3 linked regions of the Alligator mississippiensis genome follow. The protein of the gene in region 1 purifies or fractionates together with the protein of each later gene. This does not show direct contact. Links are inferred from orthologs where the notes say so. Each region holds a gene or a part of one and is shown in the gene's direction. Other genes may lie near its edges.

Region 1 (8,019 bases):
AAGCCTAGTGAGTGAATGCTATATAAGAATCTAATATTAATTAAGCTCGTGGAGGCCAACTCCAACAGTAATATACCACTTCTCTAGGATTTACTTTCCTAGCCAATTATATTTGTTACGTTTGTAGTGTTTTCAAGCTTTAAGATGCTAAAAGCTTCAGGCTGATTTATGGTTTCACATCTAAAGCATGTGAAACTTATCTGAGATTAGCATTAGATTTTTTATTTGTCCAAAAACAAAACTCAAAGAGAGTTTGGCAAAAAATACACAAATAAAAATAAACATGCATATAAAAACTAGATTTTCCCCCAGCAGCAAGTTTGAGATTTACATCCAGTTAAGTTACAGGAAGCAAATTCTAGCTGTTTGCACCCAATGAAGTGATGCAGGCAACTAATACTGAAGGTCCAAGCATACCATATTTCATCTTAATGTCACCATCCTGAATCACTGCATACTGGGACTTTTAGTTTTTGCAGGCCAAAGCACATTATAAAGGTTACATGTGATCTACAAAAGGGGGAAAACCGGAACCCACAATTTTCTCTTTGCTTTTTCAAGTTCATGCAGGATGACATAGACTTGAAATTTTGCAGCTTGTTTTAAAAAATTAAGGCTCCTAAATGGCAAACATTTATACACATACTTTATTATACTTGCTAGCACAGTCCTCAAAGCAAGTCAAAACAAAAAAAATCCTTCAGGTGTTTTATGCTTCACGTGAAAACAAAACATCACCACAAGCCTATTTTTTAGAAGCCAGCTGACTATTACTTTCAGAACACATTATGGGTACCCTTTGCATGAAGCTATCCATCCAATTAAGGCAGTTATAAGACAATTTAGTGCATAATATGAAGAGGTGGACGTAGGGAAGAGGCAAGCAAGCAAGAGGTATCAAGTACTGTATGTTAAAGTATTTTTTGTAAAAATATACTTTAATTAAAGGCTATAAGGGGACACCCCATCCAGAACAGCATTTCCATGTATTAATTAGTCTGAACAGTTTGGTCTATTCACACTAATTGCAAACTCCTTGGGACAGGAATGGCATCTTATTTTTGGACATAAATGAAAACATTAACCACATCTGCAACAAGCAAGCCACTGCAAAGTCATGAAGTAGAGCTAAAAATGCTTATTAACACAAATTACAGATGCAGACCCCAAGAGCAGAGTCAGAAAACAGGGAACTCAATTATAGGGTACAGATTTTAGAACAAGTAAAAGGATGAATACATAGTGTTAGGTACCTTAAAGGAAATTTTTTTCTTGTGGATAAGCACTTTTTCAAAAGAACAGACACAAATTCAGATAGATCCCATTGGAGACCATCCTGGAGGCTCTGCAGGGCTCCCATCCCACACCTCACTGCTCTCAACCTTTTTCAACATGAGGCACCCTCCACGCTTGTGAATTGAGGGGCACTACATTTAAAAAACTAACTTCAGCGCTCAACTCCTTGCACAGAGGGCTGGACTGGGCTGGGCAGTGAGAGCAGCCCTGCCCTGCCCTGCCTGTGCCTGCACTTATCTGCTGGAGTCCTGGTGGGAGGCACCCTGGCTGGGGCTCACGGCTGGGCCCCATGAGACCGGCTGCTGCTCACAGTGCAACAGCTCAGGACAGAATTTGGTTTTCCTCAACCCCTTAAGTCAGTTTGCTGTTTCCCTTAAGGTAGGGCTGTGATCTATGAAGCGAAGGCTTTGGGTTAAAAACAGGCCTTGGGTTTGAGGTGGCTGTGACTGACCCGAGCCCAAACCTGTGACACAAGAGCAGCTGGCCCTTCGGTTGTGCCAGCAACAAGCTGGACTGAAACACCCTGAGTGCCTTTCTCTCCCTTCCTGTGCCGGGCCTTCAGGTGGGCCCAGGGGCTCCTACTTCTGTAGGATCCCAGCACAGGGGGAGAGATGTCCTGCCTGGGACACTGCTTTTGCCTTCCGGCTCTGCAGTCAGTTTATTAGGATTTTCAGGTGAGTGATCTTTTTCTGGGCATTGTTTGCAGCAGATGTGTGACCCCGCCCCTCAGACCCCGGGGGCCTGCAAGGACCCCCACCAGGGCCCACTGCGCGAGCCCCCTACCCCGGCTCCCTTAGGGGCTGAGTCTCCGCTCACTGAGGTCTCCCTGCGAGGCGGGGATAGCTCAGCACCCCGCCCCGGGACCCGCTGCTCGTACCGCCCCGTCCTCGCGCAGGGCGGCCTCAAACCAGGACCTGCAGCTTGAGCGGGACTGACCCTGCTCGTCCCAGCCCGCCCCCCGATATGGAAGTTGGTTCAGTCCGGGGCAGGCGGTTACCGCACTCTTTTCCCTTGGTTCAACCCTTCCCCCCCACAGCTTCGAGGAAGTTGGTTGCGGCCGGGCGCTTAGCCAGGGCGGTTGTGGTCGGGCCCGACCTGTCCGCGCGCGCGCACGCAGGCGCTGACGCAGGGAGGCCGGCGCGTGCGCGCTCGGGGCTCGGCCGTTGGGGGGAGGGCGGCGCGGGGCGGCCCTGGCGCAGGGGCGGCCGTGGCTGTGGCGGTGGCTGCGCGCGGGCCGCCGATGCCGCCGCGGTGAGATGGCAGCGCCCAGCGAGGCGGCGGGCCAGCGGCAGCGCGGCGCGCACGGCTGAGGGGACGCGGCGGCGGCTGTCGAGCTGCGAGCCACGGTAGGGACATAAACAGGACGGGGCGGGACCCCATGCCCGGCCTGTCACGGGGGTGACAGCGGCTTCCTCCGCTGGGGGGAGCGGGGCAGCCGCTGCCCGGGCCGGGCCCAGCGCTGGGGCGGTGCCGGGCTGGGCTCGGGGTCGCCGTGTCAGCGAATAACCTTGTGTGCTCGGGCGGGGGAGGGGAGCCCCGGCCGCGCCCGCCGCCGCGGTGGGGCCCTGGGCCCTTACCTGGGGGGACAGGAGGTGGCAATGTGGTGACATCGCTGTTTTGCTCCCCTTAACTGGGGAGCGGGGAGTCCGCTCTGCGGGGATGTCCCCTGCAGCCTGTCATCACGGCCCCTGGAGGCACCAGGCTCTCCCGCAGTCTCGCAGTGGGGGGGTGCTCCTGCCCCTGCTCAAGTGGGAGATCTGATGATAGCTCCAGTAGTCAGGCTTTTAAATGATAAAATACCCACAGATTGCTAGAACAGGCCCCAGGTCGTTGCTTTTATTGTAAAAGGAGCCTGGCGTGGGTTCCCCCAGCGTGTGCGGGGCTGTAACTTCATTCACCACAGAAACAAGATGCGCCTCCCACTGTATGCCATCAACTAATTGCGCTGCGCTCCTAATCGCGTGCTCCACGAGCTTCGACGGCCGGCCCATGCGGATAAGAAAAAGATCATATGGATGCATGAGAGTCCTTCAGCCTTCGGACAAAGTTCTGCAGACAGTCCCAGAAGTTGTGTTCCTCTTTCCCGTGTGGGTTACTGCTTGGATAGAGGTGACCAGAAGGGCTTACTTGGGTATGAATGTAGGTTAGACACAGTGTGCTAATGCCTATTTTACTACAGCAGTTCTCAGCCAGGTGCCGTGACACCCCCAGGTGCCTTGAGATCCTTTCAAGGATGCCTTGTAATGTTAGGACTATTAGGCATGTGAACATGATTCACAAGATAAACCCAGAGATTTCAAATAGGAATCCATAGTATTAAATACATTCTGACTTGTTACGATCAAGTTTTTTGCAACAGAAGAATTACTTTATTATTTTTTTAAGTTTTAAAAAAAAAAAAAAAGGAAAAACTAAGTTGGTATTTTTTGAGCAGTGTCTTGAGTCTAAGAAGGTTGAGAACCACTAGTTTACTAGGTTGTGTTACCTTATGTTGAAAGTGGGCTAGCTAGTAAGATCTGTGATGATTTGTATGTGTGAAATAAAAATGGATGCCAGTGACCCTTTATAGTATAAAGGCTTATACTTTGTTTATGACATGAACTTTTGTAAGTGAATGAACACATTGACTAGTGGTAATTTGTTAGAACCTTTTGGAAATGTATAAATGGTAATTCTGTGACTTTTTTTTGATTAGAGAAACCAACTGGAAGACTGTTATCCTTGTATTGAGGGACTGCTGATGAAGCCAGCTAATGTGAAGTCAGCTAGACATAAACTCTGTTAATTTAGTGTTTCTGTGATTAAATGAGATTCAAGGAATGTTCACAAAATGAAAACTTAAACTATGCTTTTTGTTGTCAATGATCCCCAGATCTTAAAAAGAACCATGGAGTTCTTTTTTGGGACAAAATAAAAGAAGAGGAAGGAGTACCCGTCTGTTCCTTCCCATCTTTCATTGTGTCATGGGGCTGCCACCTGGGAATACTCGCCACGTCACTTTTCTTCTCCATCTTTACTCTTTACTTTGCAGGAAAGGACAAGATGTGTTCTCCAAGCCCTTCCTGTGTTACTTTTACTGCCCACAGCCCAGATTTGAGGTGGGAATGGGCAGTACATCCTGTCACTTCCCTTCTCTCTCTCAAACTCTATAGTAGCTAATGGCCTGAAATGAAAAAAGTTTTAGTAACTATGGATTGACAAATTAAACTGCAACTACTAAATAAAAAAGGATATCAGTTATAAATTAAGGGCAGGAACTAGCTGTTGGGTGTTGCCTTAAAAATGCAATTCTGAACACTTAGAAAACTTTTGGTTGACCAACTTGGTAAGAAGCACATCCCTCATTAAAGCTGAAGGCACACATAGGGATTTTAAGGGGTTAAGGCATAAAAAAAAAAAAAATAATAATTTCCCACATTCAAAAAAAGCTTTCCAAACTAAGTGGGGTTCTAACCTATTGGCTTTTCAACTAATGCAAATTTCATTTAAGAAATACTAGATTGTTTTTAGGTCTGCTTCAAGTTGCACCTGCAATTGGTGCAATCTTCCTGAGTTTGTATAAAGTGGCTTGAGTAGTGGGAAGGTAAATGAGTTGTGGTCTGTTTCCCTAGTTTCATTACTCATTATAAGATTCTGAATAGCAGCTATGAACTTACTAAGAATCCTGTCAGTTTCCCTGTTTTGCATTTGCTGAAAACTATGAACTGACTTTTACCAAATTGATTTTGTAAAGGATCAGATACCAATCTTAGCAGAGAGCAAAGCACATGTAGATGTCATTGAGACAAAGAGGATAAAATATGGCCTGGTGTATTAACTAAACTAGATATTATATATTTTGCTGTAATTTAGGAAGAAGGAAAATTTTGTGTGCCCCCCTCTTTTTTTGAATCTCCCACATTTTTGCTTTCTTTCTTCCTCCATACTTTTTCTTTCTTTTTTCCTCCCCTCTCCTTTTTCTCTCTACTTCTTTCTGAATCCCACCACATTTCTCATCCTATATGCTTTCCTGTTAAATATTGCAATAATTCATGTTGACTTATAAAAGGCTGCTATAGTTTCACTGTGTTGTTCACACCCCCATGTAATGGGCATCAGGATAGTTCATACCTCTTAGCCCTTATTTCAGACTATGTTCAGACTTGGATAATACTGTATCAGTTATGTACGGGTTGATGGTGTGTATGTGGGAGCAAGAGTAGAAGAGGAAGCATTCCACTGGGAGGGCTAGAAGATGACAGGTTAGATTTGTCATGTTCTGTTTTTGAAATCTTATTATAAAGCAAAGTGATATTCAAAAGGAAGACCCTCTAAAACTAGAAGAGATTGTCAAATTGCCCGAAAAAAGTAGGAAAAAAGCTTCTTTCTTTTTATCAAGGGAGAGGCTTTCCTTCCCAAACAGAGACCCATAGGAAAGAAAAACGCATGTCATCTGGAGACAGCAGTACCTTCCTCTTTCCCAGTAGGTGAAAATTTGGGCTTTCTACCAGGACTTTGCTATTGGACTTGTTAAGTGGAGTGCCTTATCTTCTCATTTCAGAGGTTCTGATACATTTCCAGAGACCTCTTTTAAGGTATTACATCATTAGAGTTTCTTTTTAAAATAACCTTCCTAAAACTTGCACATTCGTTATTTTAGAACAAATTTTTGCTTTGCTTAGGACCTCACTTAACCAGAACCAGATTTCAGTTTACCTCTGTTTCATCATAATTTATTCAAAGATCAGCACTGCAGAAATGCTTCAGTTAAAGTGAAAAGGAGAAACATTAGTATTACATATATATTCTAGGGCAAATCTTCAATCTCATATATCTATGGATAAACAATCTTTGCAGCTGGAAAGTAAGGGTAACACGACCCTTACTGTTAGTGATTATTGGCATAGGTAACCATGTGTGCAAAGGTGCTTCTGCAACCAGAATTGTGTAAGAAACAGTTTTTTATTTTTTTTTTATTTTAATTTTTTTATTCCATCTTGCTTTCATTTAAAAGCCATCATCTTATGCAAGTCCTAAAGAAATCATGATATTGTAAAAGCACCATTAAAATCATGTTGGCAGAGGTTATGAACTTATATGCTTTATGAAATATACTTTACAGAACTTATTCTTCAAATTTTATAATATTAAGGTAGTAATGATTTGAAATTTGATTGAAGAATCTTTAATCAAAAAGGTAAACGCATGCTTTCTAAACAGTGTATCTACTTTTTTCACTTCTGAATTTTGTTGTTGTTGACACTTTTTCCTTACATTGAAGTGTTAAATCCAGTCTTTCTCATCTCATCTTTTTTTGTGTTCTACTTCTGGCAACAGAGGCGGTGTACTATGATGCATTCTTTCTGAGCCATCCTTCATACCTCTTCATTTGCAAGAAATGTTAAATTTGATGCAATCAATGTGATCATGCTGATGGCCATTTACTGCTCATATCAGCTGGTACCATTTAAAACTAGGCCCTCTCCCTGGCTCATACTACTTCAGTCAAGAACTATTGCTTCAGTATGCCCAGATAGAAAATGGGATAATTTTAGTTCTTAAACTAGCTTCTTTATTATCCCTGTTTTTACCCCTCCTCTCTTGAAACCAAACCAAAACTAAAATAAAACCCCCCAAAATAGTGATTTGTCTTAAATGTACAGATTGCTGTTATATTTTAAAGAAACTTTTTACTCTGTGTGTGTCTGTGTGTACATGTGCTTGTATGTATGGTTTTTTAAAATATTTTTTTCAAATTGTTATGGAGGTGTAAAAGTAATTATTTGCAGCAAAAATCTCAAGGAAAAGACAAAAACAGGGAAGCTGGAGAAGGAAGTCCCTTTATGAAATTGCTTGGGGGAAGAGGAGGCTACTCTCCTAGACATTTCCAGCAAGCTTGAACAGCCTGAGCGAGAGATCTTTCTCTCTAAGCCAGGGTGAGTGATTATTTCAGCTGGCAGGCTACTTAAGTTTTGGTGAGCTGTCAAAGGTAGCACATGGAAAACCTTTAAGAAGATATCATTTTAACAAATTACAATTTGTTGGGTTTTTTTTATCTATATACTAAAAATCAAACTTCTGTTACAATGTATTTTAATTTTATTTCAGAAAATAATTTTTGTCCTGATTTGTATGTTTTTGAGTAGTGTATCTAGAGGTGATTGCATACTAGCTCAAAATAAAGTCTTACTCTTGTCTATTGTGTGTCTAGGGGGCATGTGGGGGTGGGAGCTGCCTGCTACTCCTGTCTGAGGCAGCCCACATCACACTCCTGCCTACTTCTGCCCCAGCTTACAGGGCTCCAGCTCCTGGCCACCATCCACCCATTTGGCTGACCACAGGTGGATTCTCATTGAGCCAAGTGCCCTAGTGGGTGGAATGTGGCTGGAAACTGGAGCCTCACATAGTGGGGCAGAGGCCATCTGGCTCTGTGTGTGGTGCCTGGCCCATGTCCTCATGGTCACTGCTGCTTCCACATGCTGCCTGCTACCTAGAGCAGCACAGCAGAGGCAGGGAGACGAGGAGCTGGTGAGGGTGGGGTAAGCGCTACCTGGGTAGCAGCAGCTGCAGTGCTGAGAAGCTGTGCATGTTAACAGGGGCTGCGGTGGTGCAGTTGGTGGGTGCAGGTTGGGAATGAAGCACTGGCTGTCCAGGGTGGGAGCATCGGGACTCAGCTCCATACAGAGTGCTGGAGGGGCAGCCGCAAGCTGAATACAATCAGTTGACAGAATAGATCTGGCCTGT
Region 2 (8,019 bases), on another chromosome or scaffold:
CCTTTTTTGAATGTGTGGCTATAGCAGTTACATTCATATACCAAACCAAAAATTCTTAAGATTATGTTTTGCCCTATACTGCTAGTTTGTGACACATTATTACTGTTTCCAAACATGCAGTTATCTTACTACCACATGCAGTAGTTACTGCCACACTGGTAAACAGAAGAGTATGTTCAATTTTTAATAATTTTGATAAATTATGGATTAATATTTATGTTTTTCTCCATTATTTAATTTCCTACGGAGTGAAACTTTCCTTCAACAATTCTATCTACATGATAAATAACTTGTTAAAAGTCTTTGTCTTAAGCAATCTTACAAAGGAATAAATAGTACCACCTGTCACAAGACAGGATAAAAGCACACACACAGAAAACAGTCTATGTCTAGGGTAGTTAGAGAATAATTGATCAATTTCCTGAAGAGAAGTAGGGGACACTTGGTAAACATTAACTGGAATGCTGATCCAAGCACTAATAGGTCAGGAGTGAGAAAGGAATAAAAAAAACGATCACAGAAACTTGGGTGTAGTGAAGGTAGTCAGAAAGGGGAAAGGATACAATGGGGGCAGTGTGTTAGAACTGAATAAGGAAAACTTTAATTTAATTTTAAAAAGTCAAAGTTAACAGAAAAGAGTTAAAGCCATTGCAAAGATGACCTTTGTAGTAGCCCTGTGAATGGACTGAGTTAGTGGGGAAAGAAAAATTAGGAGACGGTAGAAGCAGCTGAAATCAGAGATTACTAATAATATCTTGGCACTAGAAATGGGAAAGAATAGATAGTGGTGATGACAAAAGAGGTAGAAGGACTGAAAGCCTAGTGAAAGAGGAAGGGGGAACAATAACTAAGCATGTGTAGGTTGTAAGCTTGGATAACAGAAACTAAAAAAAGGGCTATTGACAGAAAAAATTGGGAAGAAAACTTGCAAGGTAAAAATGATGAGCTCTCTTCCTCAGAACATGCTGAGTTTGAAAAGAGGATGGGATGGACATCCTTTCAACATCATTTTGTATTGGTTTGTAAATGCAGCTATCCATTTGCCATCTCTAATGGGATAATATAGGATCCAGTTAGGAGGTTTGGGCTTGATCCCACAAGTGCAAGATGATTCCTGAACCCATGTAGCCAACCTCCTATGGACTACTTCACCTGAATTCTGTATGGTACCATAAGAGGAACTATAACGGGGTGGGCAACTATAGCAGGGGCGGAGGGCCGCTTACTGAGTTTTGGCAAGCCATCGAGGGCTGCATGATAGGCAGCCAGGGGCATATAAATATTAATTTTCTAAATTTTTTAGGGGCCCTGCGGGCCAGACAGAATGGCCTGGCGGTCCGCATCTAGTCCCTAGGGCCGCATTTTGCCCACCCCTGAACTACAAGCACGTACCCAGTTTGAGGATTGAATCTCTTCTCACAACTGTCTTATTATTACCCACTTTGGCTGCTTTAAAACAAAAAATGCAGACTGCTGAATTTGCAGTCATGGGAGAAATTACATTTCATAGTGCTCTTTCTTTGGGGCTCATTTTTCTCCCTCGCTCACTTATCTTTGGGTAAAGGTCATCCACAAACACAAATGCAACTACTGTCTCTACACAGACAATTCACAACTCCACCTATTACTACAGGACTGCTTTCTTATCTATACTAAAAATCTTAGTCTCTCTCTCTGGTTTCCCCCTTCTCTGTCACATCCAACGTACACTGCTTGCCAGCATTTTCAAAGCCCTCCAACTGATCCTCATCCTTCCCGTGCTCTCATGCAATGCTGAGGTCGACTCCAGGCTCCACCTAGCACATGACTTCAGGCTGCATTAGACACACACCTTTGTTCCTTTTGGCTGTCCCTTACACCTGGGAAGAGTTGCCCGTAAGCACCTGCAAAGCCACTTCATTGTTCTCACTGTTAAAAGACTCCTTTCCTCAGGACTTACAAAAACCTTGACAAAGCTTAGCCTGTTATATCCTTGTCTCCCACACTGGTCAGCACCACACCTACTGCCTCCTCTTGAGTATATGCACTTAAGCTGCTTATAGAAGTAATTCCCCCACAAAATCAGTGCTTTACTTTAAACTCTGTGTGCCCCTGCGTTGAGCCCAGTGCATGTGCACTGTTTTGGCACTGTTATCTAATAGCTGGTTGAATCAGCTGTAAATAAAAGTGCACCCACCAAAGCGCCCGATCTATACAGACACTGTGAAGTGGGGTTGAACCAAACACTGCTTCTTCACGTAAAGTGTGTTTTTGTTTTCGACCAGTCTTAAGGGCAGGGACTATCTGCTCAGGGTCAGACCGACCGGCGTACTAGGGGTCAGCAAGGAATTTTACCCCACGGTCAGACTGGTAGGGACGGTAGCGGGGGCCCTCCGACTGCGACCTCTTGCGTGCATGTTAACTAGACGTTACAGGAGCAGGACCTGCTTGACTCGTGGGGCTGACGTTAGTCTCATGTCGTGGGCAGACGATCAGCTGCAGGGACGACTTGGACAGGGCTGGTGCTGGCCGCACTACCGGCCTCTGGAGGCCCCTTCCCGCCCCACGAGTCTGCGCTGCGGGACGGGAGGCGCCTAGCCTCGCCCGCGGGCCCAGCGAGGAGCACGCGGGCGGCCAGGCCGAGTCCGGCCCCAGCCCCAGCCCCGGCCGGACACTCACCCACGTAGGCGCCCAGCTCCTGCAGCTTCCCCTTGATGGCGCCCTGGGGAGAGACACACTCGCGTTAGGCAGGAGCGGGAAGGGGGCCTTCCCCGGCCCCGGCCCCCGGCCCCGGCCGCACAGGCCCTGCTCCCGGGGCCCGACCCCGCGGCGGGGCTGGGCTGGGGGCGCCGCCGCCGCCTCACCCGGATCTTGCGGCTGATCTCGGTGCCGATCTCCATGGCCGCGATGGCTCCCTCAGCCGCGGGCCGCGCCGGAGCCGGGGGGCCGCGCCGGGGAGAGCGCGGCCGCCGCCCGCAGCGCCCCCTGCCGGCGCCCGGGAGAGCCCGGGCCTGCGCTCCGCTCCGCCCCGCCCCCGCCCCCAGCACGGCCCTGGGCCTCGGCCTGCGCCGCCTGCCAGGCCTCGCCGCGCCCGGGCAGCGAGCGGCCACGTTTTAAAATTCGCTTGAAGTACTCATGGCTGGGGCTTCGGGCATGGCCGGCTGTTGCCCCAGGGGCTGGGAAAGTCCGGCTTCAAGCACCGCACTCAGCCCTCATCAAAAGCCCCCGCCCCCCAATAAGGTATTACAGCGCAGGGAGAGGTCTGTTTGCAGGGGACAGGGGGCCCACACCAAGAGCCAGGAGGAGCTAGCTGCCCGTTGAGTCCAGTGGCGCGGCAGCCTTAAGCAGGCAGCTGCCCATTTTGAGGCGAAGCCGCTCGCCCTTGAAGCACAGGAGAGAACAGAGGAAGGAAAAAGAGAGACGTCTTGGCCTACGGCCTGTTCTCCCCTGCGGAAAGACCTGCAACTTCTGCAGACAGGTCTGTGGCTCAAGGACTGGGCTCTGAAGTCACCTCAAGACCCCTGGGCATCTAGTGCCACCTAAGTCGGGGGTGGGGGCACATGCCCCCCCCAGTGACCAGTCAGCGGCCACTCTCGCTGACCAGGCAGGGGTCCCCCCGTGGCCAATCTCACCGACGGCACCCCCACTCCCCGGCCAGCGCTCGCAGGGGGAAGACCCGTGCTCCCGCCTGCCCCCCGCCTGTTGCGTGAAGGGCAAGCAGGGCTGGTCAGGGGGGCGGGCCAGGCGTTGCCACTGTCGAGACCTGTCAATGAGCTGGAGTAGAGACTGTCCTAAATGGAGGGATTGCGGACAAGTAAACAGGGATGGACTTTTAATCTGCATAGAAAGGATGTGGATTTGTTGTAACCTGCCAAGGGCTGGGTATGTCTGACACTTCACAGGGTACCTTTTTCTTTTCGCTGCCGATGAATAAATTAGATGGTGGCATTCCTCCTCAATGTCCACAAGGTCTCAGAGATGCTGTGAAAAAAGAGCAAAAGGAAAGTGGGGAAGAAAATGGATTTGTAAAAAGGAGATATGGTTTTAACACCCTCCCCCCTGCAATAATCGCCAGACATCTCTATTTTTCTACTCTTCTTCTTTCAGGAATCAGGATTTTCTCACTGATCTGATGAGAACTGTGTGCAAATGTCTCTGGATGTGAAGATCACTGGATGCCATCCCATCCATCGTAGGTACAGTTCCAACCATGTTCCTTTCATTAGAGTCTGGTCCCATGCCAGCCCTGGGATTATCAAAACGTGGGGTGTGGGCAAGGTGGATTTAACCACCTGTACAAACCAGCATATCCTGGCTGTACTGACCAGCACTGCCAGGATGGAGAAAGGTAGCGTAAGTGATGTTGTAGCCATGATGGTCCAGATGCGAGAGGCAAAGTTTTCTTAGAGCGATATCTTTTCTTGGACCAGCTGTGTAGTTGGGATAAAGTTAGACAAGCTTCCCCATGTAAGACATTCTTCCTCAGTTTTCTGAATCTAGGAAGCCGGGCACAGCAAGTTATGCACTGCCTAGTGGAGGGTCTGAGAGAAATTCTCAGGCGCAGCCAACATACAGTTAGGAAAAGGAAGGAGAAAGACACAGTCTCAAGTCTAGAAGGCAGGGTAGATTTGCCCCCAATACCGTGTGCACACGTTTTCCCGAGCTGAAGCTCACTTCATGAATGCTGACCGGAGACAGCTGCATGCAGCCTGTCCCTAACGCAGGGTTGTCAGCTGGGGGTACATGTACCCCTGGGAGTAATTGAGAAGTCCCTAGGGGGTACATGCAGGCAAGTGGGGATGGAGCGCTGCCACCCACCACCTCATGCTGCCACACAGGCTCCACCTACCCAGCTGAACACCGAGGGCAGGGAAAGCTTGCACGGGGTGGCCGCAGCAGCTCTGCATTTGGCCATGCACTACCTCCTGCCCCACTCCACGTCCAGCATTGCCCCATGTGTGCTGGGGCTGGGTGGCCCCCTCTTGGGCTGTATGTGCTCTGCGTGTCTGGGCAGGCGGCAGGTGCGCGCTGCGCTGTGCACAGACAGCTGGGGGCCGTGAGTGCTAGCTGTTTGAGGTGGAAAGGGAAGGGAGGGGAGGGGAGAGTGGGGAGGTGCAGGGAGGGGCCCAGCCCCTTGTTCCACGAGCTCCGCTAGCTCATTCCTCCCGGGTAGCGGTGCCAGGAGCAGCGGCTGCTGCGGCTGCCCTGCGCTTGCCACCCCTCTCCCCCCCCGGGGTACACATATTAAAAAGGAGGCCGCCAGGGGTACACTTATTAAAAAAGGTTGAAAATCCCTGCCGTAAGGCATAGCCTGATGGAACCTGTTTCCTTCAGGAGGAACAATCAGCCTCAGGTCTGGTCTCTTTCCTCACACCACACCCAGCCTCTTCCACAGGGCCAGCTCAGTGTAAAGGGCCACACTGCCAGGGTTTGAATTATGGGAGAGCTTGGGGGGGCTAAGCGCCCCCATAAGAGAACCCCCCCCCCCCCCCCGCAACAGCCCGGAGCCCAACCCACCTTGTGCTTTTCTCAGCAGCCCTTCCGGCTGCCACTGCTGTTGGGGATCCATGTGCACACCTTGACCCCAGTTAGGTTTTTTCTGCAGAATCCCTGCCGTGCGCCCCCCCCCCCCCACCCATGTGCCACACACTGCAGCATAAATGACTGGTACCTCCTGAGACTGGGGGGGGGAGGGAGGGCACAATTTGTGGGTGGCAGTGTTGGCGGCACAGTGGTGAGCAGTGGCCACCCGCAGAAGCCAGCTGGGAGAGAGGGGTTATGAGTGGCAATTGGCGAATGCCCACAGAAGCCAGCAGTGTCAAGTGGAGACCACCAGCAGAAGTTGGCGGCAGTGAGCAGTAATCAGCAATGCAGAAGCCAGCTGCCATGTCAGCCAATCTTGGGGGCATGTGCCTCCCCACCTATGCACGGGAGGAGACCCTGCTGGATTAGAAATGCCCCGTACTTATGATCTTTGGGGCCCTGGAGAGGTGGTGCCAGCATTGGCAGGTCTTAAATATGAAATTATTGTATTGGAACTCAAAATTACCGTATTTGCTGGAAAAAAAAAAACTATCATACACTGAAAACGCATGCAAATAAGTTTTCTTCTGTACTTTATGTTGATCACTGTAAGTCCTCAGTCTGCGAGCAAGAACGTGGAAGTGGAAGCATTTCTTTATTTCAAGAGGCGCAGTGTTAGGAGGTGCTGACAGCCAGCCCAAAACCGGATTAAGATTCTCCGTGACTTGAGTTTTGCATTCGCTGCATCAATGACCTGCCTCAAAAGTCATCATACGTTTTAAACACTTTTACTATTATTGACCCTGCGTTGTACGAGGGCTGGAAGGATCTTACAGACACCATGGCTGTCGTACCCCGGCAAGGCTGGGCAGCGCCCGGGGTGCGGCTGCCGCCAGCCGGGCGGCCCGGACACAAGAGCACGCGGCGCCCCGGCTCCGGGCCCAGCCTTGCGCCCTAGTGCGCGTGCGCCGCTGGCCGGAGCTGGCGCGGGGACCCCGAGCACCGGCCGGCACTGCCGCATCCCCCGCGCCCGCGCCCTTGTCACACGGCAGTGGCGTCTCCCGTCAGTGAGCCGCGGCTCAGACTCAGGCGTCCGCTTGGTGCCTGTGACCGAGGCACCGAGTAAAGGCTCCTTGTTCCCGGCACATCCCGGAGGGGAGGAAGGGGGTGCTGCACGGGCACGGGTCAGCCCCGGGCAGGACCCGCGTTGTGCACCCGCCTGAGGCGAGGGCGGGGCGGCCCGGCCCGGCCGCTCCCACGGCTGCCACTAGCGCTGTCCCGGGGGTGGGCGCAGGGTGGCAGGAGAAGCAGCGGCGCTGCCCCGTCCCCGCCCCCGCCCCGCGCATTCCTGCTCCCTGAGGTCACGGGCTGCGGGCGAGCACTTGGCGGCTCCGCGTATCCTTCCGCACGGCCGGGAAACGCCTCCAGGCCACGACACTCCCCGCCCGGCCCCGCGCACAGCGCCTCCGGCCCCCGCCAGCCTGCGCCAGGGTTACTTGGCCGGGCCGGTGCCGACTCCCCGCGCAGCGCCGTGACCCGCGGCGGGGCTGTTTTCAGTAGGGGCGGGCGGGCAGCGGCTGTCCCGGCGCAGTCGGGCCGTGCGACCCGGATTGGGGAAGGCGCCTGCGTGTCACCGGATCGCGGCGGCAGGTAACGGGGCAGGGGCAGGGCAGGGCAGGCGCCGCGGGGGACAGCGGAGCTCTTCCTCCCTGCTTTGTTTCTTCCTCCCCCGGCTGGTGAGGTGACTAGAAGCAGCCTGGGGGACGGAGGTGCCAGAGGAAGTTTGTGATAGTTTGCTGGTGCGCTTTGCAGAGCTGTGCTGGGGTGGCCTGAGACGGGGAAGAAAGTGCCCTACTTGTTAGGCTGCTCCGCATAACCATGAAATAATGGTGTGAACTGCAAGTGTTAGCCATCCTGGGCACCTTGTTTCTCTGCCCTTCATTGTACTTTTATGAGGCAGACTCATCCCTGGAGCTTCACCTGTTTTAAGTCAAATACGAGGCAATTCTCAGAGAGGAGCTAAGAGTTGTAGAGAAAGAGGAGCTACCTATGACAATCCTTGGGACTCCTGTTTGGCTTGTGAATATTGAAAACGATATATATGCGTTCAGATATAGATGTGTAAAATCAGACGATCAAAAAATGTTTTTTAGTTCCCAGATAGATACTAGGCCTGCTTAATAAAGGGAACATTCACAAGAAGTCTAAATAGCAGCCAGACTTTTGCATTTCCAACTTCTGGCACTATAGCACAGGGCTCTTTTGTCCCAAAGTAGCAGTACATTGAAATAATGCGTGAGACAAATATGATACCAGCTGGTCTTTGGAAATGACAGCTGCTAAATAAAAACAATATTGCACTGTTTGCAAGAACTGTGCTTGGCCAGCAGTAGAAGTTGTCAAATGACTTGTGACCAGTACTCCTCCTCCATTCCCTTTCTTGTGCAACGCTAGTGTATTTTGTTATTTATCAGGGGCTACCTCTGATGTAGTGCATAAGAGGCACTGGGATCCAAG
Region 3 (8,019 bases), about 240 Mb from region 1:
ACTAGTACAACACACACCACGCACAATACAAACAGAAGCCACAACAGATAGTGTTAAGTGCAAAGATTTTTTTAAATGTCATGGTCACAACAAACAGCACAACTCACAATATTTAAATGAATCTCATGTATAACAATTTGGAAACCTGTTTGGTTTTTTTTAATTTAAATAATATGCTGCACTTGGTAACAGGTGTGTCTTGGTCTAATCTGTTTCTTAGTGCCAGATGAAGCAAGGGAAAGGAGCTCTTTCATGATCTTAGTTATCGTGTGCATCAGAATTAAAAAAGTCTTGGAGATTCTGTACATTCCTATGAAAAAATGAGGAAACAAATGGAAAAAATAAGGACATATCCAAGGTTTGTGAAATCAATGTTGAGAAGAAGAAATATAAATAGTTGTCCATTTTATAAGCCTCCAAAGCATTTAAACAGAAACACAAACATAGTTGTGGTGACACCCTGCTTGTTCTGTATAGACACCTAAACCTTTGTTACATCAAGGTTAGATTACTACGATGTATTCTACTCAGGGCTGCAGCTTTTCAGGAAGTGAAAAATATGGTGGACTAAATATAATACAGTTTGCCTTTGTACCTGCATTTTGATTTACCACCTAATTTGGGGAGTCAGATTTCAGATGTGTGCTCCTTCATTCAGACCTCCCCCACATAATTTGCCTGGCAAAATTTTTCACGCACATCCCCTGAGAAAATAGGGTTTTTTTAAATGAGCAAGTAATATATATGGCTTTTCATTGTCGGTGATCATGAAGGCAAAGATTTTGTGCCTTGGCTGGCATATTTTAATGGTAATTGAATTGGGCTCCCCAAAAGGCCAGGCTTATCAAGTTTAGGCCTTGATCTTGCATTAATACAGGGCAAGTCTACACGTGCATTAATGTGCCTTTTCTAATGCGCAGTAAATTTAATACCTCTAATGTGAGGTACTAAATTAATGAGCATTAGGCTGTGCTAGTGCACAGTAGCGCATTTGCATGCTTTTTAAATGACTATGAAAAAAGACTTACTACTAGTAGACCTTTACTGCGCATTAGTGTAGTGTCATTTTTTCATGTGATGCTTTAATGCACAGTAAAATAGTCTACTGCGCATTAAAGTGCACGTGTAGATGCGCCCACAGAGGACTAGATGCTTGTGAGTAGTCTCTTTGCACCTGTGTGTCTTTACAGGATTGGGGGTCCACATTTGATCCTACAGTCCTTTCTGCATGCAAAGCATCTGGGGAAGTCAGTCCAAGGAGCATAAAGCATTTCCAGTATGCACCGTCTGGAACTTTATAGAAAAATAACTTTTGTGCTGTCTGTGTTTGCTGGGTGTTGTCCTGTTTATTTCATAGCAATTATTTTGGAATTAGATGTGTTTATTGCAGCCAGATTTTAGAACATATGATTTAGGAGTCTTGGGTTCTATTTCCAACTCTGCCACTGACCTACTGTGTGACCTTAGGCAATTTAATAGTTGCTCTTGGCTCTGACCCTGACAATACTTATTTATAGGACTAGACCATTCATTCTAGGGGACTAGTCACCTGTGTTAATGTCGGCAAGATTGGGACCCTTGGGCTGAAAACACAGTGCTAGGAGCTCAGCGCTGGCTTCCCAGCTCTTTTACAGGTTGAGACACCACTATATACAATTTCCCTGACCTGACTTGATTTACCCTTCTTCAAAATGGGCACAAGAGGACCTGACAGGAGTGGTGACAGGCTTAAATAATTAACACCCGAGACGCTTTGACAGTGAATGCTACAGAGTGCCAATAAAAGGATTACAGTGCTCTATTAATACCAGTGCATCATTGTCCTTATCTGTAAAAAAAAAAAAAGGGGACAGTATCCACGATTGCAAAATACTTTACAATGCAGGATAAGCATAAGGTATGATTATTATTTATTGCATTTCATAATCTCTTCGAATGTACAAACCAGCCTGTCCTTCTGAGAGATATACATCACACATGCATATATGTACACACACACACATATATACACATACACACATATGTATATATTCACATATATGTATACATATACACACAATTATATACACACACATCTATATATATATATGCACACGTCTATATATACACACATGTATATGCATATATACACACATATACATGCATATGTATGCATATTTTGTATGTGTGTATGCATATTTTGTATGTGTGTATGTATGTATGCGTGTGCATGCTTGTATATAGATGTGTGTGTGTGTGCATGCATGCGTGCACATGTCTATATTTGCAATCTACTAAGGCAAATCTTATTTCTTAACACTCCTAGGCCTGGCTGCTCCTCCAGGCTCGGAGGAAGGACCCAGGCGAGCCAGGAGCCTGCAAGCTCTGGGGCTCCCACTTCAGGGCGTTTCCTGGCCCCCACCTGCCCTGGGTGCAGCACCCCCCTGCAGCCCAGCTCGCCCGTGGGCTCCGCCAAGCCCCACTGCGGAGCTCTCGTGCTCCCTCCCCGGGGCTCAGCTTTGCCTCGGGGCGACCCGGCTGCACCATGTCGCCTCCCTTTCTTCTGCGGGGCTGGGGGAAGAGCCTGCTCGCTCGGATCCCTGCCCTGCTCCTCTCTCTCTCCCTCTCTCTCTCTCTCGACTTCAGGAATAAAAAAAAAATAGATTTTAGCAACCCGATCTCTTGTTTGCGCAACACAATCACTTTTTTTTTTTTTTTTTTTTAAAGCGACAGGGTGTCTAGACGCCCACGTGATTGGGGCCGGGGCTGGGCAGCGCCACTGCGCACTGAGAGCGCCGAGGCGAAGCCGGGGGAGGCGGCGGCGGCGGCTGCACGGAGGAGCGGCGGGGCGGCCGCTGGGCACCGGGGCATGGGCACGGGGAGCTGAGCCGAGCCGAGCCGAGCCGAGCTGAGCTGTTGCTGGCGGGGGACAGGCTCTGCTCCCCGGGAAGCAAGGAGGCAGCGGAGGGGAGAGAGAGGGAGAAGCCAGGAAGGAAAGCCGAGCCGAGCCGAGCCGAGCCGGAGGAGCTGCTCCTTCCCCCCCGCCTCTTCCCTGCGTATCGGGAGCCGATGCGGGGAGGAGGCAGCCGCAGGCAGCGCGCAGGGCTGAGCCGGAGCCGGAGCCGGAGCCGAGCCCTCGGGGCTGGGGACCGTCGGTAGCGAGAGGATCCTCCCGGGCACCTCGCAGCAGCCGCCGCCTCCTCCGCGCCCCGACCCCGTCCCCGTCCCCGTCCCCGCCCGGGCGCGGCGGGAGGAGTTTGGGGACAAGTCGACTGGAAATAAAACTGCCCGCGCGGCTCCCGCTGCCGGCGCGGCCACGAGACGAGGGGGATCTCACCCTCGGATGTGATTGATTTTTTTGGGGGGGGCGTGTGTGATGATTTTGTACCTTTTTGACACATTTCAGATTTTGATGATGACTTGAACTGAGCTTGAAACAAGCAACCCCCCCCCTCACCCCCCACGTTGTACAGCTTTCCTTTCTCCCTGCCCCCCAAAACTTCCCCTGGGCTGGAATCGGTGGATGTTTGACTCCGGAGGATACCGCGAGTTTCCTTTTTCTGTTTTTCATTTTTTTTCCCTTCGTCTTGTTTTCTGCGAGGAAGATCTGCTCTGCTCGGGGGGCGGCGGGGGCGCTGCGTGTTTTGGGGGGCGGCTGCTGATTTGATCGGGGGCCGGTGTCGGCGGGCGGGCGCGGCTCGATGCCGGGCGCGGAGCCCCGCGGGAGCCCCGCGCCCCGTCCCGCCGGCTAGCGCCGCACCGCGCCGCGCCGCCGAGCGAGACTGGCGCATGTGGCACCGCGCTGGGGCTCGCGGGCTGCCGGCGCTCGCTGCCTGGACGCGGAGCCCGGATCCTTCATGACTTGCGGACGACATGCTCGTTTTGTAGCCGGGCACCCCGCTCCTCGTCCCGCATGTTCAGGACCAAACGCTCGGTGCTCGTCCGGCGACTCTGGAGGAGCCGCGCTCCCGGCGGGGAGGACGAGGCGGGCGACGCCGCCGCGGACAGCCGGGCGCATGGGGCCGGCGGCGGCCGGGGCTGCTGCATGGGCAAGGCGGGCAAGCTCGGCAAGGCGGCGCTGGGCTCCGAGGCGGAGCTGAAGGCGCTGACCCACGCCGTGCTCAAGAGGCTGAAGGAGAAACAGCTGGAGGGGCTTTTGCAAGCCGTGGAGTCCCGAGGGGGCACCCGGACCTCCTGCCTCCTGCTGCCCGGCAAGGTGGACTCCAGACTGGGTCAGCATTGGTACTCCCTCCCTTTGCTGCTATGTAAAATATTCAGGTGGCCCGATCTCAGGCATTGCTCGGAAGTCAAGAGGTTATGTTGCTGTGAATCTTATGGAAAAACTCATCCAGAGCTGGTCTGCTGCAATCCCCATCACCTTAGCAGGCTCTGCGAACTAGGTACGGACAAGGGGGGGACACGCGTGTGCGCGCACACGAGACACACGTACGCGCACGCACACACATGTGGTTTGTATGGATTGCATGCACACACGTGTGTGGTCTATGGACTACACACACAGGCTGTACACATGTCCTATATGGGCTGCACACGCATGTGGTCTAGACTACACACACGTGTCTATGGACTGCACACACACACACACGGTCCATATGGACTGGTTGGACACTTGTGAGTGTGCATGGGGGTGGCAGGGCTGGGGGGTGCGTGGTTGCATGTGCGGAAAATTTGGGGGTGGAAAGAGGTGCTGAGCCTGGGGGTTTGGTAGCGGCGCTGAGCGGGCAGAGCAGGATGGTGCCCGCCCCGGGGCTGCGGGAGGGGAAGGATTCGGGAGACTTGAACTTGGGGGCTTGGCCCGGCCTGGCCTGAGCGGCAGAGCAGCCCGCCTAAGCACCGGGGGACAGGCCCCCTTGCTCCTCCGTGCATACAGACATGCCCAGCCGGGCTGGGATGTGCAGGCGCTGGGGGCCAGTGGGTCCCAGCCCCCGCCAGCAAGAAAACGTTTGAGAGCTGCAGCCATGCTGCCGCCTCCTCCAGGCACAGCTTTGTGTCTCCAAATAAGCCCCAGCAAAAAAAGTGTCGGTGCATTTGCCTGGCCAGTGGCATGAAGGCAGGGCTCCCCCGGCAGTGCTCGTGGTGGTGCTGTTCCGGGCGGCGTGGCGCCCCCGGCCCGACCCGGCCGGCCTCCGCCTCTCCCCTCCTCCTTCGGAAAACATGGCAATTACTTGCAAACTTTGCTTAGCTGCTGTAGCACAGAAATCGGCCCCTTCTGACTAGTGGGGAATTGCTGAAGGGCAGCCCTTGATTATTATTTTCCTCCTTCCACTTCCCCCCCTCTTCCCCCCAGCCTTTCTTTTTTTTTTTTTTTTTTTTCCCTTTTCTGTGAAATGTTAAATGTGTATGCAGCTAGCAAGGATTATCTGGCAGTCGGGATCAGTTGGTGATTTCCAGAGCTGGAGTGTTTTAGCTGAGCCAAGGAGGCCCTGATCAGACAGCCAGAGTAGCAGATAGCAGGGAGACTGGCGCCAGGCGGCCCCTTTTGTTTATCTGACAGCTAAATATCAAGGCAATCGCCGCTTAGCTGCCCTGCCTCCAACCCCCAGAGCTAAGACAAACAGTTTTGCTAAAAGAATGCCACTGTTATCATAAGTTCCTATCTTTTTTTTCTCATGGCTCTGCCTTTATTTTCTCTGTACTTTTCTAATTCCAGAGTCTCCCCCTCCGCCCTACTCCAGATATCCAATGGATTTTCTCAAACCAACTGGTAAGTAGACCTTTAAACAGAGGCTACTGTCTTCAGATAAAAAGGGAAAACAACTCTTTCTCCGGGGAAATGTTTCTTGCCTTTGTTACACGTCTGATGCATTTCACTTTTTGACCATTTCTCTGGGGTGTTCTGTGCTTTTTAACCCCCCTGCCCCATAAGAAGAAATACATGTTTTGACTCTGAAAAAACCTCCTGCGGCTGTCAGATTTAGCAGGGGATCTGGTAGGGATGGTGATTGCAACTGCTGGCTTTTCCCAACAAGGGACTTGGAACATTTTGGGATGGATCTGAAGAGAAAGTAATGTCAATTTGCCCACTTTGCCTAGTGAACACCTTCTCAGGCAGTCTTCCCAGTGTAGCTGATAATGTTATGTGGCACAGGGAAAAAATGCAAGGCTTGTTCTCAACCCTGTTCCCAGTGATGATGCATTTAATATTAGTAGAGGTTGTAGCAGAGGAGTGTAGGAAATTTTTAATTTCTCATGAGTAAGGGCACAGAGCAGTTTTGACACATGTGGTTTGTGCAGATCTTCTTGATGTTTGAAATCCTCTGGAATTCAGCATTATGAGATTTTTATTTTTTTTTTATAAATGGAAGGGAATATCAAAAGTTTTTTAACACAGCTCTGCATGCCTGTTGCTTGTAATTGAATGGCAGACTGCCAGGGCAGAAGCCCATTTGAGGCTGGCACCAAGCTCTGTTGCGGTTGTCTGCATAAACTTCTGGTTGGCAGGCAGGCTCACCCTGTGTTAGATAAATAGGACTGGCATTGTGGAAGGAGAGAGAGGTTTAGTGGAAATCGGAAATGTGGATGAAGTCAGGGAAGGGCAGGACTCCACCGAGACGCTTCATATCTCTCTGAAGATTAATGGACCCAAAGTATTGATTGTAGCACGATTGTCTTTGTGATAGCGTCTTAAAGTCACGCAAGGCAGCCTGCTATGAAGGAGAGTCAAAAATAGATTTCTTTCTAAAGACCCAGTTCAGGTCTGTTTTTCTAAAATTGTTGCTGTTTGGTTGCTTGGGACTGGCTGCCTGCTAGAGCCCAAGCAGTTCTCAGCCCCCAGGGGATGAAGTTTGTCTTTTCACTTCACAGTTGCCCTCGGTCAGTTCTTAAAAACAAAAAAAGTTTGCTCTAGAAAACTAACTCTGATTAAATTAAGTTCTTAGGAACTTCCAGGACTGGATCTTATGACAAGGTCCATTTCTTTCCCCATTGTAAGCTCTTATAACACACAGGTTTCTCTGTGCCATGGGGAAACAGGCACAGCTGTTCAACTAATGAATGGGTTGCATGTAATATTTTGCCTTAGTCTTTAAAAAAAAACACTAGATAAAAGTTCATTATTTAATGAGGAGATATCAGTGTTGTGCTTTACATCCCTAACAAGTGTTACTTGCATTTACTAGCTGTTCTGATTAAGGAACTGTTTCTTAATATAGTCGAGCGTGGACTGAGTAGGACAGAATTTTATTGTTAGAGGAAGAACGTTATCACTGAGACAAAGTCTGTAACAATCAAGAGACTGATGCTTCCTTAGGACGTTCAAAGGCTTAGGCCTTTTTTTTAACCGAATAATGACCCTGGGGGAAGACACAAACTGATCTGTGGACAGTTGAGGAGGAGAGCTGCTAACATAAAACTGTAGGAAAGAAGAGTTAATGATTGCCTTGAGCTTCCTGTAAAGATGTTAGGATAAATCTATTAGCAGGGTTTAAACATCCAATCTGCCTTTGCCAGGACCTCATTTTCAGTTAGTGGAGTGATATATTTATTCATTAGCAAGTGTTGACATAAGGTAGCAAAATGTGTGTAAACAGAAAAGCCGCAGAAATGAATGTGCTATTTCGAAAGGAAAAGTTCTTCATATCGGCCAATAGGAAGTGATTAATGCTGCCAATCGGAAACACAAAAACAACTGGTTACTCACCAAAAAAGGTTTTTTTTGTGCTTTTTTTTTAATCCATTTGGCAGTTGGATTCAGAATAGGGAAGTGCATGGGGCAGCGACAGGGACAAAAGACATCTGTAAGTTTGTCATTGCAGGTGGTTTCACAACCTCTGGCAGGTTTTATTTTTGGTCTCCTCTTTAATCGAGGCTATTGTGGAGAGCAAGAGCACACACATATGGAGCGCTGTGTGTAGATAGCGTTGCTATCCCTTGCTGCAGACAGAACCAGGCTGGGAGCATGCTTTCTCACGTTTTTCTAGGTTTCAAAGCATTATGTCAACCATTATTTGGTTAGAGGCTACTTAGATGAAAAAATATTAGCTTTCAATGGAAGGGGGTTCAAATTGGGCAGATTTTAAA

Evidence for each region.
Region 2: the proteins of WWP1 (region 1) and PTPN21 purify together in Homo sapiens (affinity purification with mass spectrometry; 3 studies listed by BioGRID). This does not show direct contact. The link is inferred for Alligator mississippiensis from reciprocal best matches to the Homo sapiens genes WWP1 and PTPN21.
Region 3: the proteins of WWP1 (region 1) and SMAD7 purify together in Homo sapiens (affinity purification with western blotting; 3 studies listed by BioGRID, with this or other methods). This does not show direct contact. The link is inferred for Alligator mississippiensis from reciprocal best matches to the Homo sapiens genes WWP1 and SMAD7.

Annotation. Positions count from the first base shown.
Region 1 is NC_081826.1:49,483,250-49,491,268, reverse strand, and holds the start of WWP1 (NEDD4-like E3 ubiquitin-protein ligase WWP1), read left to right. Parts: upstream 1-2,478; 5' UTR 2,479-2,642; intron 2,643-3,102; exon of another isoform or gene 3,103-3,199; 5' UTR 3,200-3,222; coding exon 3,223-3,405; intron 3,406-3,408; exon of another isoform or gene 3,409-3,427; intron 3,428-3,991; exon of another isoform or gene 3,992-7,211; intron 7,212-8,019. UniProt on the Homo sapiens protein: E3 ubiquitin-protein ligase which accepts ubiquitin from an E2 ubiquitin-conjugating enzyme in the form of a thioester and then directly transfers the ubiquitin to targeted substrates.
Region 2 is NC_081825.1:271,807,594-271,815,612, reverse strand, and holds the start of PTPN21 (tyrosine-protein phosphatase non-receptor type 21), read left to right. Parts: upstream 1-3,027; 5' UTR 3,028-3,457; intron 3,458-4,086; 5' UTR 4,087-4,175; intron 4,176-6,115; 5' UTR 6,116-7,152; intron 7,153-8,019. Other genes in the region: ZC3H14 (zinc finger CCCH domain-containing protein 14), read right to left, coding at 2,659-2,701, 2,844-2,879.
Region 3 is NC_081826.1:289,547,514-289,555,532, forward strand, and holds the start of SMAD7 (mothers against decapentaplegic homolog 7), read left to right. Parts: upstream 1-3,661; 5' UTR 3,662-3,892; coding exon 3,893-4,379; intron 4,380-5,650; coding exon 5,651-5,704; intron 5,705-8,019. UniProt on the Homo sapiens protein: Antagonist of signaling by TGF-beta (transforming growth factor) type 1 receptor superfamily members; has been shown to inhibit TGF-beta (Transforming growth factor) and activin signaling by associating with their receptors thus preventing SMAD2 access.